5 linked regions of the Sus scrofa genome follow. The protein of the gene in region 4 purifies or fractionates together with the protein of the main gene of each other region. This does not show direct contact. Links are inferred from orthologs where the notes say so. Each region holds a gene or a part of one and is shown on either strand. Other genes may lie near its edges.

The links.
Region 1: the proteins of NUP107 (region 4) and SEC13 purify together in Homo sapiens (affinity purification with mass spectrometry; 8 studies listed by BioGRID and IntAct, counting the BioPlex papers as one, with this or other methods). This does not show direct contact. The link is inferred for Sus scrofa from reciprocal best matches to the Homo sapiens genes NUP107 and SEC13.
Region 2: the proteins of NUP107 (region 4) and NUP43 purify together in Homo sapiens (affinity purification with mass spectrometry; 8 studies listed by BioGRID and IntAct, counting the BioPlex papers as one, with this or other methods). This does not show direct contact. The link is inferred for Sus scrofa from reciprocal best matches to the Homo sapiens genes NUP107 and NUP43.
Region 3: the proteins of NUP107 (region 4) and TPR fractionate together in Homo sapiens (co-fractionation; 4 studies listed by BioGRID and IntAct, with this or other methods). This does not show direct contact. The link is inferred for Sus scrofa from reciprocal best matches to the Homo sapiens genes NUP107 and TPR.
Region 5: the proteins of NUP107 (region 4) and NUP37 purify together in Homo sapiens (affinity purification with mass spectrometry; 7 studies listed by BioGRID and IntAct, with this or other methods). This does not show direct contact. The link is inferred for Sus scrofa from reciprocal best matches to the Homo sapiens genes NUP107 and NUP37.

What each region holds. Positions count from the first base shown.
Region 1 is NC_010455.5:66,517,898-66,521,414, forward strand, and holds part of SEC13 (protein SEC13 homolog), read right to left. Parts: intron 3,247-3,517; coding exon 3,202-3,246; intron 1,036-3,201; coding exon 920-1,035; intron 1-919. UniProt on the Homo sapiens protein: Functions as a component of the nuclear pore complex (NPC) and the COPII coat. At the endoplasmic reticulum, SEC13 is involved in the biogenesis of COPII-coated vesicles.
Region 2 is NC_010443.5:16,262,989-16,266,505, reverse strand, and holds part of NUP43 (nucleoporin Nup43), read right to left. Parts: intron 1,418-3,517; coding exon 1,188-1,417; 3' UTR 1-1,187. UniProt on the Homo sapiens protein: Component of the Nup107-160 subcomplex of the nuclear pore complex (NPC). The Nup107-160 subcomplex is required for the assembly of a functional NPC.
Region 3 is NC_010451.4:127,526,886-127,530,402, forward strand, and holds part of TPR (nucleoprotein TPR), read right to left. Parts: intron 2,996-3,517; coding exon 2,855-2,995; intron 2,459-2,854; coding exon 2,367-2,458; intron 2,123-2,366; coding exon 1,925-2,122; intron 1-1,924.
Region 4 is NC_010447.5:33,027,661-33,031,177, forward strand, and holds part of NUP107 (nuclear pore complex protein Nup107), read left to right. Parts: intron 1-2,040; coding exon 2,041-2,110; intron 2,111-2,435; coding exon 2,436-2,554; intron 2,555-3,277; coding exon 3,278-3,316; intron 3,317-3,517. UniProt on the Homo sapiens protein: Plays a role in the nuclear pore complex (NPC) assembly and/or maintenance. Required for the assembly of peripheral proteins into the NPC. May anchor NUP62 to the NPC. Involved in nephrogenesis.
Region 5 is NC_010447.5:82,090,189-82,094,255, reverse strand, and holds the start of NUP37 (nucleoporin Nup37), read right to left. Parts: upstream 2,818-4,067; 5' UTR 2,728-2,817; exon of another isoform or gene 2,310-2,727; intron 2,285-2,309; exon of another isoform or gene 2,260-2,284; intron 851-2,259; exon of another isoform or gene 850-850; 5' UTR 817-849; coding exon 640-816; intron 1-639. UniProt on the Homo sapiens protein: Component of the Nup107-160 subcomplex of the nuclear pore complex (NPC). The Nup107-160 subcomplex is required for the assembly of a functional NPC.

The sequences.
Region 1 (3,517 bases), on a different chromosome or scaffold from region 4:
CAGGTAACAAAGTGATAGAAACTATGTCTACTACTGGGGTTCCTGGCCTATAGCTATCATTGAAGGAAATGCTAAGTATTAAAGTCCCTGAAAATAAAGATGTGACTTTTTTTTTTCTCCCTTTCCTAGTTTGCCACTGCCTGAATTCTATCCACAGAAGCCTTGGAGCTCTGTAGAACCAGGGTAAGAACCCCCAGTCTATCTCTCGTAGTGAACTAAGGGAAAGCACTAGAGTGTGGCCATAAATATGAGAGCCAGGATCTCAAGAACCTCAACAGGGAGAAGGGTAAATCAAATGCTGTAAATACCCACTCAGGGCCTGCCATGGGCCAACAGGCAGAATTATGGGATTTATGTAATTACTATTATATTCTTACATTACCACCTTTGAGTCATTTAAGATCATGCGGACTAAACCTTTTCTTAAAAAAAAAAAAGTAGTTTTTCGCTTTTAAAAATAGCAGTAGCTACCAGAGTTCCCTTGTGGCACAGCAGGTTAAGAATCTGATGCTGTCACTGAAGCAGCTTGGGTTGCTGTTGTAGCACCGGTTCAACTGCTGGCCTGGGAACTTCCACATGCAGTGGGCGTGGCAAAAAAAAAATAGCAGCAGCTACTGAAGGCTTGCTGCCAAGATGGTTCCACCCAGGCAGAAGGAGCATCAGTTCGAAGGATCAGTTTTGTAGCAAGTGAAGGCTACAAGAAGTAAACAGACTTTCTTACCCAAGGTCTTTTAAGGGCTTCTGGGTGGCAGAGCTGGGATTCGCTCTGGCTCCATGAGTCTGGAACTCTGGGTAGCTAGGACCGGGTGCCCTCTCTGCCAATGGAACTGTGGGCTGCTCTGATCTGGGCTCTCAGCCCTTCCTGCCATGTCTGAGAAGCCCCAGTACTAAGACTCTGTCTAGCATCGGCTCCACTCACCCCCTGAGGTCGGCGATGAGGATCTGCCCTCCGTTGCGCACATCGAAGATTTTGACGGACCTGTCTGATGAGCAGGTTGCCAGACGGGTGCCATAGTAGTCCATCTGGGCATCATGCTGCAAAGGGAGGAGAGCTGGGGCAGCCTGCAGGCTACGCGGATGGGTGTGGGGAGGGGTGGTCACCAAGACAGAAAGCCTAGTTTGGACCAGTCTACCTGACATTATTTGAACCTCAAGGAATCATCACTACCAGGCAAAAAGCTAGTAAGTCAACATTCTCACTTCTCTGAATGGCAATGTCTTTCTGAAAGGGCCAAGAAAAGCTACACCCAGCTGCTTTCAGACCCCTTACATCATGGAGAAAGTCCTCTGCAATCCCACTCTGCAGAGTGGGTATGGGAGAAAAGAAACTTGCCTGGCCTCCCTTGTCTTCCTTCTTCCCCCAGCCCCAATGTGTCCTGAGGCTCTGTGGGCTACCAGGGAGGTTCAGCTCAGCCTCAGAATCCAGGGCTAGTGCTGATCCAGAGGCACAGGCCTCTGCCTGCCTGTAGGCCCCAGTCAGGTGCTCCATGACACACATCTGTTCTGTACATGGGTTGGCTCCATTCAGACATTTAGCACCACTCCCACCACCCGCCCCGGATCTTTTGTGGACCCATGTTCCTGTGTTTCCACTTGACCTTTTCCCTAGCAGTGTACCCAAGATCCCAGATTCTTCACCCATGCCTTAAATGCTACTGGTCCCACCACTGATGAACGGACTTCACTGATGCTGTCTGGCCATCAAGACCCAGGGCCAGGCCCTGCCCACAGCTCCTTGTCCATCCAGGTGATGGTTCCTCTGAGCCACTCTGCCTGTTGGCCCTCCTGTTTGCTGACCTTGTCTATTCCAACAGATGGCACTTTCTTCAGCTATAGCACCTGGGGTTTCAGGGACTATCCGCTCTTGTGGTCATCAGGAGCAACTACATCCTTTAAGAGGGAAGCAATCATTCTGTCTGCATCAACATTCCTTCTGCTTCAACATTCCTTCTTCACCTCCTTACCAAAGGAAAACAGATTCTTCTGGGGAAGTCAACCCTCCACCACTTCAGGTCTTGGTTTTTTGGAAGGCAGGCAGAGCAGGGGTGAGGACAGATTTCTCTGCAAGTGTTCCTAAAGTACTGCTCCTGTAGGGTGCTACCACACACTTGGGAGGAAGCAGGGCACAGTACCTATGAGATTGGAGCCCTCTCTCCTTAGGTTACCATGTGCAACCTTGGAAAAATTTCCTAATCTCCTTGCACTTTAGTTTCCTTATCTTCAAATGGAGCTAATGATGGTATCTGCTTCAAGGTTTGTTATGAAGGTTAAAAGGGGTACTTAATGGACAGTATTTAACATGGGGTGTGATGTCCATGAGCAGGCAGACATTAGTCATCACACTTTGTCTCATCTGCCCCTCCACAGGAACCCACACAGAGAGGTGGCATATCCATTATTTTTCCCATTTTAGCTATGAGGAAATCAAGGCTGATTCAGACAAGTTAAGAGACTGGCTTGGGATCTGATTGGCTCTTCTTGCCCAAGGTGCCGAGCTGTCTCCAAGGAATGTGGTCTTACAGCCAGAGCACACACATGACTGTGTTCAGGGAACATACACAATTTTGAGGCCAGGCAATCTCCCGGACGCAAAAGCAACTGTAGGTGGACAGATGTAGGACAGGATGCCTGGCATGAAATGCTGTAGGCTGGCCGGACCTAGGTTTTGTTCAAAGGCTGCCTGAACTCCCTGGCCCTGCATGAAGCAGAGTCTGTGTCTTTGCTGCTGGAGACTTTAACCTCTGGACCTTCTCCCACACACCTGTCCTCCTGTACTAAGCCCTGTGCTTGCGTCTCAGCAAATACCCTGATTTAACAACTTATGGTTCAAAGGGCCTTGTATGGCTCACTGTCTGTGGTGGTCTGACCTGGCTCTGCCTCTGTATAGTCATCCTCCTCCTTTTTCTTCTTTTAACCCCCTTTCCAATGGGGCCAAGACGTAGCAGCAGGAGAAAGATAGGTTGGAACACTATTTCAAAACTCTGCATTCACTACCATCTCCTTCCAGAACATAGGACTAAGGCCTTGAGCTACAAACTGTTTCTAAGTTCCTCCTGCCTTGCCAACTCAGAGGGCACTGCCAGAGGACCCCTGAGGCCACGGCCTGGCTGGCAAAGGCTGCAAAGCAACACTGGGTTCATAAACAATGAACAGAAATGCCCATGTCCACAGCCCATGAGGAAGGGCTAAAGGAGTACTTACTATCATGTCCTCATGGGAAGTATCCACAGTGTTAATTACTGACACCTAGAACCAAAGATATTGAATGCAACCAGTTAGAATGCAGTCATCTCATTAAATTCACTGCTCATTTCTCAAGTCCTCCACTGCATCTGTTCATTCATTCATTCATTCAGTAAAGGGTCAGCGTAAGTGCCTTCATTGTGCCAGGCACTGTGCCAGGGACTGGAGACATGGACACAAATAAGAGGTACTTCTTGCCCCCATGAAGCTTGCACATAAGTAACCCTAATAGGGCATGAAAAATACTTTAATAGGGTTTCCCTGTGCCATAGCA
Region 2 (3,517 bases), on a different chromosome or scaffold from region 4:
TAATCTAACAAACTTTGGAAACACAATGTCATTAAATTGTCTTAAAATGCTGCATGTTAGGGTATCATTAACATTTTGGATAAAGATAAAGATGGAAAAACTCTTTATTCTTACCACCCCATCATACTAGTCTCATACATATTACCCATCAAATATCAGTTTGGAAGTCAGCTTACTCATCAATGTCAAATTCTATTTTATTGCACAATGTCCAGTTCAGCAATTTTCAAATACAGTGTAAAAAAAGAGCAAAATCCTTAGGATAAATGTATTTGTCTTTTTTCTTTTCAAGAAAAATGAAGATGAATCTAAGGAGTTGACAAAATTCTGTTCAAACCTATTCTAATAAAGGAATGTGTCAAAACATTTTCAACTTGAAAAAAATCTGAACACTACAAAAAATTTGTCATTTTTGCTCCATTAAATTCTTTCTGGGGAGTTCCCGTCGTGGCTCAGTGGTTAACGAATCTGACTAGGAACCATGAGGTTGCGGGTTCAATCCCTGGCCTTGCTCAGTGGGTTAAGGATCTGGCATTGCCATGAGCTGTGGTGTAGGTCGCAGACGCAGCTTGGACCTGGTGTTGCTATGGCTGTGGTGTAGGCTGGCAGCTACAGCTCCAATTAGACCCCTAGCATGGGAACTTCCATATGCCGTAGGTGCAGCCCTAAAACAACAAAAGACAGAAAAAAAAAAATCTTTCTGAAAAAGTTTATTGAAATCACTAAGGAAATAAAATGTGGAGGAACTGCAGAAAACATGTGCAGTAAAAGGAATAAAGACTAACAAGGGCTAATGCCACCAGGGAGGGGTATATCCCACATACTGCTGATAAAAAAGATTAGGAACCCACTGGTGGTTTGACATTATTAAGCCCTACATCATCAAAAATGTAGAGCTGGTTCCACAAGCTGTCCAGAATTGTTTTGAAAGTGCTACATTTACCAGCACAAGGATCCCTCTGACATTCTTCCACACGTTTCAATTATTTTGCCATTGGTTATCAACTAGACTCTAACAACTGTTAGAGGAATATTCAACTAACAAGCCAAAACAGGGCATAAACATTAACGATAGTTTATGGACGCTTCCCCTGTAAAGTTCACATTTGCTAACAATAAAAATTTGCATAGAAGTTGGAATTTGAAAGGTTCTAACTGTATGTTTTACCTGAAATCTTATAGTTGCTTCATGAAAAAAGTTGTCTAGTAACATAAATTGCTTCTGCATCGGTTCCACAAACAAGACAAGGACCTAAAACATCCAAACTGTTCACAGACAAAGTCCTGCTTGGAAGCAAGCTTGTGATTTCAATACGGTCTCTGGCAGGATCAGTGCTGAGCCAGGAGCTTATAAGAGATTGGTGAACATTAGTCTGGTTACTAATGCTATGAGACAAAAAAGTACTGCTTCTTCCTCCTGGGGAAAAAAAAGAGGAAAACATTTTTTTAAGATTAAATTTATCCTAGTAAACATCTGAAATTCTCACATTTAAAAAAGGCAAGGTTTAAACTTCTTTATTTCCCAGCTGTGCTGCAGCATATGGAAATTCTCAGGCCAGGGGTCAAACCAGCACCACAGCAGTGACAACGCCAGATCCGTAATCCGCTGAGCCACGAGAGAACTCCAACACATCACCCTTTCTTTTTTTTTTATATTTTATTTTATCTTAGTTTATTTTGTAATGATTCACATCACCATTTCTGACCAAAGATCTATTCAGTGATATTAAACACTCAAATTTCCATGAGATAAAATGGCTATCAAACTTGAAAACTTCAGCAAAGGAGAAGATTCATTTTGACTTTGTCTTCCTGTTTATTCTTTAATGGAAAGTCTCAGAAATATAGCAAAATGGCCAAAAGACAAGTAGAGTAAATGTAGATAATATACAGACATCTAAGCTCTTAGATAGTCAAAAAAACGAAGTGATCATAAGAAAATTTTTGGATGTATTTCTAGATAAGTATGCCAAAAAACATCGCTCCCAAGAAATGGTAAAAATGCTCATGGCATATAGAGGTTCCCAGACTAGGAGTCAAATTGGAGCTGTAGCCACTGGCCTACACCAGAGCCACAACAACACGGGATCCGAGCCTCGTCTGCGACCTACACTGCAGCTCACGGCAACGCCGATCGTTAACCCACCGAGCAAGGGCAGGGACCGAACCCGCAACCTCATGGTTCCTAGTCGGATTCATTAACCACTGAACCACGACGGGAACTCTTCTCAGCCTTTATTTAGGTAAATGTTCTTAAAAGTAGAATTTTACAACACTACCGGATTGTAAACTTTTATCTCTGACAGTGGTCTGCATATTTTTTGGTCTTTTAGGGCCACACCTGGCATATGGAGGGTCCCAGGCTAGGGGGTGAATCGGAGCTACACCTGCCAGCCTACATCACAGCTCACAGCAATGCTGGATCTTTAACCCACTGAGCGAGGCCAGGGATCGAACCTACATCCTCATGGATGCTAGTCATATTTGTTTCCGCTAAGCCACGACAGGAACTCCTGCATTTAATATAGGATTAAGTGGGGGCAGAAGCAGTATATTTTAGTTTTAGCCATCATTTGCAATTTTCTTTCCAGATCAAATAAGGACAGATTTCATTTATTCACCAAATGGCTGAGTACCTATTATATATGCCAGGCTCTGTGCTAAGTGCTGGGAATACAGGGCAAAGTCCTTGATACCTTGAAGCTTAAAACTTAGTGGGTTTTAAAAAAAAGAAAAAGAAAAAGCTCAGTGGGTTTAAATATTGCTGATTGATTTTTTTTTCTTTTTGGGGCCATACCCTTGGCACATGGAAGTTCCCAGGCAACAGGTCGAATCAGAGCTGTAGTGGCTGGCCTATACCACAGCCATGGCAACGCCAGATCTGAGCTGCATCTGCAACCTACACCACAGCTCACAGCAACGCCAGATCCTTAACGCACTGAGCAGGGCCAGGGATCGAACCCGCATCCTCATGGATCCTAGTTGGATTCATTAACTGCTGAGCCATGAAGGGAGCTCCTTTCCTCTTCATTTTTATCTTTTCTGCTCCTATATTTTACATTACTTTTGAGTACTGTGAAAATTAGCCTTAGAACCACTGTGCTAAGTCTCCTCCCTGCTCTCTCTGCTTCCACCTTTACCATCCCTCCCCGCAGTCTATTTTCCATGCAGTAGCCAAAGTCATTCTTGGGAAAAACACGAGTTGATTATGCCACTCCCCTGCTCAAAATTCTCCAGTGGCTTTCTACCACACTTAGAAAAAAATTCTGTAGGCCTCAACCCAGTCAACAGAGTCCTGCTCTTGAGCTTCCTCTCACTATCTGGTCCCTCTTCCACACCCAATCACTGAACTGCAGCCACAAAGGCCTCCTTGCTGTTCTGTCTCCTTGCTGTGTCTTCTACCTGGAATACTTTCCTGGCGCTTGTACCTTTACTTCTTCAGATCTCTGCTCAAATCTGTTCTCTCTGCCCAGCGGCCCCTCCCCCGGCTAATTCTTTATCCTACTTTCCACACACT
Region 3 (3,517 bases), on a different chromosome or scaffold from region 4:
TTTTGCAAACTTTTGCAACATTATCATTAGGGATTTAGGGTACCATTTTGAGAAGCTTGGTATAAGCATAAAATATCTTTGAAATGTTATGTTTTATCTCAAATTCATATAAATTTTGCTGCTTAATGCACTGTTTTGATATAATGTTTTAAATATTAATAGAGTAAAAAATGCCTCCTATTTATTCTGGTGTTTCAAATACCTCTGAGCACAATGCCCTCAGGTTATATGCATAAACCAATTTCAATAGGAACAGGTTTGTGAGAAAATTAACAAGTGAGCCTCGCAGAATCTAGACTGGACATGGTCCATATTATAGATAGAAGATTCAGTTAAAAGATACAGAAATAATCTTTAAATTCTTTGGCAGTTGTGAGAGAAGTATGTAGGGAGTTTGCTGTTATTACTGTACCTATACATCAGTGAAAGAATTAACAGATAGCTTTTTCCTACAATGAATAGCTACTATTATCTGATTCTTAATCACCTCTACTTTACTATCCCCTTCAGGCAGTAAGTTTGAGATAAAATGCTCACTCTTAACAGTGAGGAACTCAAGATCTACTTAGATCCAAAGGATGGCCTTTGTCTAAAACCCAGTATCTGTCAAGACAAGCCTGGTAGACATCATTTCACCCAGGAGAAAGAGATCATTAGATTTATTATACCCCGATTTAAACTGAAGTCTAAATTACAAGAGCAACAGCAACAAAAGTTTGTTTGAATTAAGGACCCAATTTACTTATACTATTCTCTAAGAAAAAAAAAAAAGGAAAAAGAAAAAAAATCTATTGGTTTAGAACGAATAGATTTAACTAAATTCTGTCAGCAAGACATGTTTAATAAATCTTGAAGATTTCTCATATTAACAGTTATATCCTAAAAACAACATTATTAGTGTATACGCTAAATAAATCATTATATATTAAACAAAAATCTTTTTTTCTTCCCTTTTTATAGCCGCACCTGAGGTGTATAGAAGTTCCCAGGCTAGGGGTCAAATCAGAGCTGCAGCTGAGGCCTACGCCATAGCCATGGCAACATGGGATCCTTAATCCACTGAGTGGGGCCAGGGATTCAACCTGCATCTGCTCGGACACTATGCCAGGTACTTAACCTACTAAGCCACAATGGGAACTCCTAAAAAGGAATCGCAACAGATAGAGAATATTTAAAAATTTCCTTGATAATTTTTTTTTTTTTTGCTTTTTAGAGTTGCACCCACAGCATGTGGAAGTTCCCAGGCTAGGGGTTGAATCAAAGCTACAGCTGCTGGCCTATGCCACAGCCACATCTGCAACCTACATCACAGCTCACATCAATGCCAGATCCTTAACCCACTGAGCAAGGACAGGGATCGAACCCACATCCTCATGGATCCTAGCTGGGTTCACTAACCGCTGAGCCACAAAGGGAACTCCTCCTCGATACTTCAAATATGCAAAGAAACAGTAACAAAATAATGCATATAAAGATTTGCCAAACTGTGAAATCTTATGAAAAAAAAAAAAAGAGTTCTTTTCAATGGTCAAACAATATTATCACTTCTAGACAGAATATCAGAAATGCCTGACAAAGCATGACTCTGCTAAATTTAAAGTTCTATTATAAAGAGACAGTTACATTAAACAGTAGCCCAGAGATTTGCCTATTTATCATCAACTAGAGAACCCTAAAGAACATACTCCAAATGTCTTAAAAAATGTAAAAGGCTTTCATAATTTCAGCTAAATCAAGGTAAAATATTTTGCAACTACAGATATTTAAAAGTATAAATGACAGGCTTTAAAATGTATAATTACCCTATCACTGAAAAGGCAGTTAACCTTTTCTGACTTAAATACTTTAAGAAAGAACTGTCCTACCTAGTAAATCATTTCTCACATGTATTTTTCTACAGCTAAAATTGAGGAATGGAACCAACCTTCATAGCTTGTTCAAGCTTAACAGACAAACTTGCGACAGCTTTCTGTGCACGTTCATACTCCTCACGCTGGCGTTTCAAAATCGGTGCTTTGGCTTCAACTTCTTTCACTATTTCATCTAGATACTTATTAATTCTTTTATTCTCTAGTTTCTCCAAAAGCAACTGATCTTGAGTTTCCACATAAGCGTTATATAGCTGAAAGAAGAGAGGTCATTTCAAATCTAAGCATAACAGAAGCATATAACTTAGAATTACACAAGATGGAAATGTTTACTAAATGTTCCACAGAACCAGGTACCAAGAAAGCCTTTCCCAGGATGATGTAATAATCATTACACGACTAAGAATAATTTTTTTGGAGAGTGTGCTTTGTTCTTAACTCAGAGAGATCTGAACACTTGTGCTGAGAGAAAAGAACAAGATTTAATACCATTCTTACCTCAGTCAATTTCATGCCAGGTTTCACTATCTTAGCTACAGCTGCTGCAGTAGGAGACATGGCTGCAAGCTCTTCTTCAGACAATATGGCTCCTGTGCCAACACATAGAAATGTAGTAAACTTTTGTAAAACTTCAAACTAAAGCCACTGTTTCCTACAAGTGAAATGCGACACCCACTGCACATTACGTATAAATTCCTACGAAAATTCAAGTCTGACAACAGTCATGTTCTAAAAATCATGCAGTAATTATTGTTAAAATGATTCTGAAAACTGACACACAATTATGTGTGATAAAATGGTACTTACATCTGATAACACAATAAAGATACAGGTAGAGTAATGATAAACTAAAAATAAATTCTAATATCATAACTTGTTGAGTTTCTCATATCACACTATCACAGCAGCGAAATACTATTAGTGAAGTGAAGTGAGAAGGAAGTCTCAGTATTTCAGGCCATTAGTAAGCATATACCAATCCATACCTTTACGTTTTGTGGCAGAAAGCAGGTCATTTGCATTTTCTAATTCTTTCTCCAATTTCCCTATTTTCTCAAGCATTTCTTTTTCCATTTGACCTTTAGATTCCTCTACCTCTAGAAGATGATCTTGTATTGCTTTATTGGCTAAAGACAATTTTAAAGACAGAATATCCAAATAAATAAATGAAATTTTGGAGTTTATAAGACACAGAATGGTCATTATTTTTCTCTTCAGCAGAAAATATTAAATTCTAGAGAGGCTGTGGTTGACAGTTATTATTCACTATCATGCCTGAAGTGTTCTGGACTGGTGAATTTATTTCCCTTTTGGATATCTCTTACATGGGGAAAATAAGGGAATAAAATGGTAAAAAAAAAAAGAAAGTGGCTCTAAATATCTCTGGTTTTAATCTAATCTTTAGAATACAGGAAATGACTAGAAAAGATGATAGCTTACAGTAAAAAAAGAATATAAAAAATCAAAGACTCCAAAATACACTATTTATAACTTAAAAAGTAATGCTTATTTATGGATTAAGACAGTAACCAAATTATAAACCTATATGTATTTATCAAAGTAAATGTTTCAAAAATGGAAGAAAAACTTCCTACTAGAAATCAGGATATATGTAAAGTTATTAGATGAAAGAAACAGAAAAACATTAG
Region 4 (3,517 bases):
TTCTCACCAGTTCCACATCTCACACTTTTTTTACTTTTTGCCAGTTCATCAGAGTAGGTGGGAGATACGAGCTCACTGTTTCCATATCTCCCTGTCTATTCATAAGGTTGAACAAATTTTTCTATGTTTATTGACCATTTATGAATTACCTATTCAGATCTGTCAACTGTTTTTCTGTTGGATTTTATCTTTTCCTTATTGTATGAGAGCTCTTTGTATAGTAAGGAAATTAAGGGAGTTCTCTGATGGCCTAGTGGGTTGAGGCTCCTGCGTTTTCACCACTGTGGCTCTGGTTGCTGCTGTGCAGCGTAGGTTCAATCCCTGGCCCAGGAATTCCCACATACTGCCTGTGTGGCAAAAAAGAAAAAAAAATACAAAAAAACAAGAGAACCTGAAATAAACTTTGCAACTCTCATTTAAAAAAAAAAAAAAGGAATGAATATTTTCTCTGTCAAGTTTTTTTTTTAACCATTTTTGTTATTTTGGAGATTCCAGTGAATGAAAATAAAACATGAAAGTCAAGGAATAGATACAAATATTAGAGGTGGGGTACATTTACATATGATTAAAATATAAATCTGGAAATTTAAGACTCAATAATTTACTATAATTAATAAGGGAATTTTTTAAGTATCTAAATTCAAGACAAAGTTCCCCAAAAGTTATAACTATTTGTTACAGCTAGTTAGAAAAGGATTTAGCTCCCTAAAAAAGTCCCATTTAAATTACTGACCCAAGCTATAAGTTACCTAGGAATAAAATCAACCAAAGGTTTGAGGACCTCCAGAAAGAAAACTAGTATCTTATTGAAAGATGCAAATAAATAGATGTCACATGTTGCTGTATGAGAGGATTTGATACAAATATCAGTCATTCCAAAATTAACATAGAAATCTAATACTTTGGGATATTATTTCTGAATAGAAAATTCCCAAGTGAAGAATAAGTGAGAATGGCAAGAAAATTTGGAAAAGAACACTAGCTATGGGATACTTGGCTTAATAATAAAACAATATAGGGAGTTCCTTTGTGGCTCAGTAGGTTAAGGATCTGGCATTGTCATTGCTGTGGCACAGGTTTGAACCCTGGCCTAGGAACTTCTGCATGCTGTGTGCATGACCAAAACAACAACAGCAACAACCAAAAAAAAAAAAAAGTAAATAAAAAAATATTAACATACAACAAAACAGTATGGAATTGGTATGGGAACAGATAGAATCACTGAAATGTAGATGTCCATATCCCAAATATATATGAGAACTTAATAGATGACAGAGATGATCTTTCAGAGGAAGAGGGATAGTTTATTTACATGCACAGTATGGGCATAATTGACTTTCCATCTGGAAGAAAACAAAGCTAGATCTGTACCTCATGCCATGTATTAAAATCAATTCCAGGTGGAGCAGATATATGAATGTAAAAAAGAAATGCTGAAAGAAAATTTAGACAAGTAAAAATTAAAATACATTTGACAAAAAATAAATGAACTATTTGCTTAAAAAAAAAAAAATCCAACAGCAGGTTACTTATAAATGCTTTTTCTACCCTGTGTCTAATCAGTACTGCGAAAGGTTTTGTTACTCTTTGTACCATTTGCAAAAGCGAAAACCCAATGAATGTATTCAAGAACTGCTGTTTATGTTGAAGGAAATCTTACAGTTTATTTTGCTGAAGTTACAGAGGCCCTTCTTTTCTGGTCACCATAGACTGCCAAGAAAAACAGTAGTAAAATATAAAAAATAAGATTTTCATAACATTCACAGAGATTAATTGTTTTATCATAGTTATTTGCTTCCAAAGATAATATTCAGCCTTGAATATATATTCCAAGGGCAATATCCTTCTCATATTTTATTTTACTTTAGTCTCCTAAGACCCTTCATTTTCAGCTTATTTTTTATGTATATATAGTGTGTGTATATATATATACATATATTTATATATTCCTTCAAAAGTTGAGACAGTTTTAGCTTACCAGTGAGTACATGCTACAGAATATCCACAATAGATTTACAGAAAATGTAAAAATTTTTTCAGAGAGTTCTGGAAGAGAATCAAGAACATTATCATATAGTTCAAAAATTCCTTATCCTTGGAGACATTGATGGTAAGATATATTTTATTTTGCTTTGTTTGAGTTCTTTGTTTTCTTATAATAATTTTGTAGAAAGTTATCAGAACGGTGCACATAACTACTACGTATTTTATTTTACACTTTATAAATATCAGCCTATTTGAATATAACTCTTTACTTAGTTGTTAGAAAATAAAATTTGAATTTAATCCAATATCTGTTTTATATGATGGTTATTAACAATGAGATAGTGATTTAGTAGTACTATGGGAATACAATAAATGCCTTTGGGTAGTGTTTATATTTCTAATTTTGATTTTTATCCCTATTGTTGAATCTTTGCTTTGGTGGCTTGTAGGTTTGATGGATGAATTTAGCAAATGGCTTTCCAAGAGCAGAAACAATCTACCTGGACACCTTCTCCGCTTCATGACTCACCTCATTTTGTTTTTCCGCACTCTGGGACTGCAGACCAAAGTAAATAAAAATGAGCCGCATGCCTTTCCTGCAAGGCTGATGCTATATACTTGTCATCAGGAAAACATACTGCTTTTTTGTTGTTTTCAAGAAATGGTGATAAGGGTGCATATAGTCTCATATGGTCACTCACTGATCACTCACTGTGGTGACCCATTAGGGTTCTGATCTGTGGCAGCAGAATGCTGATGGGTTGGTTTTTGGTGAAGTTGTAATTCGAATCCTCATCAATAGTGAGCCCTAAATCAACCTCCTAAACTGACTGAACCAGACTAAATTCTCTATGAGATTTTAAACCTTTGTTTTGTTTTTTTCTTTTTCTTCTGTCCTAAATGATTGGTAACATTTTGCTCAGAGTACATGTAGAAGGCAGAACAATACATCGGTTGAAGGCCTGGATTTTGGAGTAAGGAGCCTAGGTTCACATTCTTGCTCAGCAGCTTCTAGCTGTGTAATTCTGGGTAAATGAAACCTCCACAAGTCTTAGTTTCTTCCTCTGAAAAATGCAAATAATAGTGACTACCGACAAAGGGTCTGGTAAGGTTAAATCAGGCTTTTAACTTTGAATGTAAACCTCGCTAAGTACTTTACTTGACATATAGTTATTGCTCAATGGTAAATATTAAAAATCATTATAGCAGAATTTTTATTAGATGTATTTGTTGGTATATGTAAGCAATTGTGTTTATAATGGAATTATATCTTTCTTTTTTTCCTATGAAGGAAGAAGTTTCCATTGAGGTTTTAAAGACATACATACAGGTAAACTTCAGAATGATAATATTTTAATATCCAGTGGCAGGAAAGTCATCAGAATCCATAAGAGATCTTTTAATTATCATAAGTACTTTCTTTTGAAATTTAAAATTAATTGTGTTTAGCAGCACAAATCTGTGTCTGTATGACTCTCTAAAATACATATGAAATTTTGAAATGAACTTTTTAAAAAGCACTGCTGATCCT
Region 5 (4,067 bases), about 49 Mb from region 4:
TGAATATCATAACTGCTATAAAATCTCCTGGAGGATCATTTTTTAAACTCTCCATATTAGTTTGTTTCCTATGTCAAAGTGGAATGTGGAAAAGGTGGGTTTCTAATTAGTATTTTCCCTGTAGATAACAATGTTCAGTGAAGCGTATCCTTCGATTACCAGAATATTCTACTTCTAATCATGAAGTCAAAGAGGAGCGTGTGTGTTTGTGTGTGTATGTGTATCTCCATTATCCCTGAACAACACAGAGGTTAGCATGCCAACTCTCCACGCAGTTGAAAATCCTAGTATAACTTGCAGTAGATTCTCCCTATCAGCAGTTTCTCCACATCAGCAGATTAACCGAATGCAGATCCTGTAGTATCCTAGTTTTTACTCCTGAAAATAATCCATGTATAAGTGGTGGACTATGCAGTTCAACCCATGTTGTTCAAGGGTCAACTGTATTCTTCTTTTTCACTACTTTTTTATTGTTTGCACAAATATCAGGCATATATTACTGAGAATATCTTCATACCATTTTTGTTTTACATTCGAACTCAATATACTTCCAAAGTTTAGCCAGTTTACTGAAGTCTGTATAAGTCCTTTTATCAGCGAAACATTTCACTGTCATTCATTGCAGTTTTATACACTAACCTGAAATGTACATGTGCCAACGACCACAAAATTATTGCCACCATAAGCAATCAGGTTTCCTGAATCCCCACTCTCAAAGGGATTGAATTCTACCACGTGCACATAATCTTCACAATCCACAGTGTAGGCAGCATTTCTTGTGGGATCTTGCTTCATCCTGTATGGCAAAACTTGCATAAAAATACCCGTCTATCGGAAAAGGTCACGAAACTGTGGATTAAGCACAAACACAGACAGAAATGGTCAAAGTGCTATTTTCAACAAATTAATCAAAATAATAATGTGACGAAAAATAGCTAAAAAAATTACTTAAATACTTTAAATAATACTTGCAGTGTGTCACCACTAAATTCTGTTTACACTGTTCAAAAGATAAAATCAGTACTTAAAGATAGAACTACATTAATATATACATTCATTAAAAATTAATGATGGTTGACATTTACGGAGCACTCCTTGCAGGCGCCATGTTAAGTAATTTCCTGACATTATCATGTCTAACACTTGTACGAACCTAAAAGGGAGGTATTACCTATGGTTCCTATTTTATAAAAATAGGGGAGGTTGGAGTTCCCGTCGTGGCGCAGTGGTTAACGAAACCGACTAGGAATGATGAGGTTGCGGGTTCGATCCCTGCCCTTGCTCAGTGGGTTAACGATCTGGCGTTGCCGTGAGCTGTGGTGTAGGTTGCAGACACGGCTCGGATCCTGCGTTGCTGTGGCTCTGGCGTAGGCTGGCAGCTATAGCTCCGATTGGACCCCTAGCCTGGGAACCTCCATATGCCGCGGGAGCAGCCCAAGAAATGGCAAAAAGACAAAAAAAAAAAAAAAAAAAAGAAAGAAAAAATAGGGGAGGTTAACTAGCGTGCCAAGCTCATAAGAGGAGCCAGAATTTGACTTTTGCAACTTGGGTTCCTAGCCGCGTCTGCGACCTACACCACAGCTCACAGCAACGCCAGATACTTAACCCACTGAGCAAGGCCAGGGATAGAACCTGCAACCTCATAGTTCCTAGTCGGATTTGTTAACCACTGAGCCACGGCGGGAACTCCAAGAACAGCTAGAATTTGAAAGACTTTCTTTTTTAAAAAATTGTTTAAGAAAGAAAAATTTTTTTCCATTGTGGCTTATTTTCGACAAAGCACTGAGACCAGGTCCACCCAAAGGAAAGCATGTCACTTCCTCCAATAACTTGAAGATTGTGGCTGTTCTTAACCTGTTCCCTGCTACATTTCTTAGTTAAATTTCTTATGCATAAGGAGCAGTTGTGCAGGGTCACGGCCCCTCTTATGTCCTATCTTTTGAGCACTAGTAGTAGAGAAGAAAAACACAGACTCCTGCCTTGAAGGAGCTCACAATCCAGGGTTATTTATGATTCAGGGTGAAAAGTGCTACGATATAAGTAAATACAAAATATAGAATCCGGAGGAAGGAGAGCAAAAATATAAGAATAATATTCATAAAACCAGGCACAAAACAACTAACCATTTATAAACCTGGGGTGCATTCTGGAAGTAGCATTCCCAAATGATTCTAAAAAGGTCCCCCCCCCCTTTTTTTTTACTGGATGGTAGGGGTTGTCCTGAAAACAGCTGGGCTCGATAACAAACAGGTCAAATACCTGATGCATGTTTACTGAGAATCAGATGAGTTCCACCTCGGGAAGTCTATAAACCTTACGAGTGGGTATCGGAGGCTGAACATTTGTTAAGGGTGACAAGCAGGTAAGATGTGGGAAGTGCAAAAGATCCCAGATCAGGAAACTCAGTTCCTAATGATTCATTAAAGTAGCGCCCAGTCTAATTACGTTCTCAAGTTCTCTTTGTACAAGGTAGGCTGGACTTGCCCCTCTACTACTGCTGGGACAGAGGAAGGAGGGAACAAGAGAAGTGTCTGCAGAGCCCTGACACCTCTTCCAAATCCAGGCAATCCCGCGAGACGCCGCTATCACCTCCCCGAACCTGAGGTCTGAAGGAAGAGTAGTGGGGAACGGTCCTGGAGAGAGGAGGAACTCTCAGGGATAAGGTGGGGGCACGGGGCAGCCGGTAGCAGAGCGGGGCGGTCCCTTGGGCTCACGCGCGATACGCACCAGATTGCGCCTGGAAGCAGCTAGAGGGGAGCTGGCGTCCGGTGGGGGCTGCAGCGGCGCGCGCCGACTCTGCTTCCGGGTCAGAGGGCGGGAGCGATGATTGGCTCCCGGGCTCTCCCGCGAGATTTAAAGTGTAAACCCGCGATCACGGGCACAGTCGCCGAGCTGTAGTCGGGCCAGAGCTTTCTTCAGGCGAGTCGGCGCTTTTCCTGTCTCCCTTCAGTCAGGTGAGTGTCACCTCTTCCTCACCTGCCTGTCACACTTTAAGTGGCGCTTCAAGCCGCGACTTGTGAGGATTTTTCGGTAACCAGCAAAGCACATGTGATGGTCTAGGGTATTATTTGTGCAGTCTTTGCTCTGGAGCTTGGTTTGGTTTGGGGGTGTTAAACAATTCGTAGGACCCAGTGATGGAGCTGGAAGGCTTTGTGAGCCCTACTTAGATTCATTAGTTAGTCAGAAAATCAGGATTCCAGTCCTAAGACATATAGACTCCAATTCCCCACTTTCGCCTTCTCCTTGTTACATCCTCCCAAGGAACTGTTCGGACCTGTATTCTGACCCTGGGCAGCAACTGACTGCCGTTTTTTATTGAGCACCTACTAAGTACCCGGCACTAGGTGGATTATTTACTTGTCTTACTAATGTCTCATAATGTGAGGTAGGAGATATCTTCCTTGTTTTACAGATGTAGAAGTTTATGCTCATCAGGTTTTAAATACTGAAGGACATACAGCCAATAAATGGGGACCCTGATGTAGACCCTGGATGGTCTGACTCAAAAATGTAGTTCTTGTAGCCGTCTCACCCTGCCTCCCCAGTGACATTTCCCCTCCTTTCAATTTTTGGTGCAGTGCAGCCTGGAATCTAATTTTTAAAAGCAAATGTTTAGAATCATTGCCGCCTTCTACTACTGTTTTTGTATAGTGCAGCCTGACATTTGAATGCTTTTATATTCATTGTCTCATTGATTTCTGGAGGGTATTATACCTCTACCTAGGCAGTAATGTAAAGTTTATTGCCTGGACTCCCACAGCCAGCTAGCTACTGGAAGAGTCCAGACTAAACCAGGCTTGGCAAACTGGTGATACTTCCTGTTTTTGTGTAGCCAGTTCCTAAGCTAAGAATGGGTTTTACATGTTTGGATGGTTGGAAAAAAAATCAAAGGAAGAGTAGTATTTTGTGTTTTGTAAAAATTGCATGAAATTCAAATTTCCCTTTTCTGTGAAGTTTTGCTGACGTGCAAGTATGCTTATTTGTTTATGTATTGTCTATGGCTATTTTCACACTGCAAGGTCACCGTTGCATAGTTGTAACGGAGACTTTATGGCCTCCACAACTTA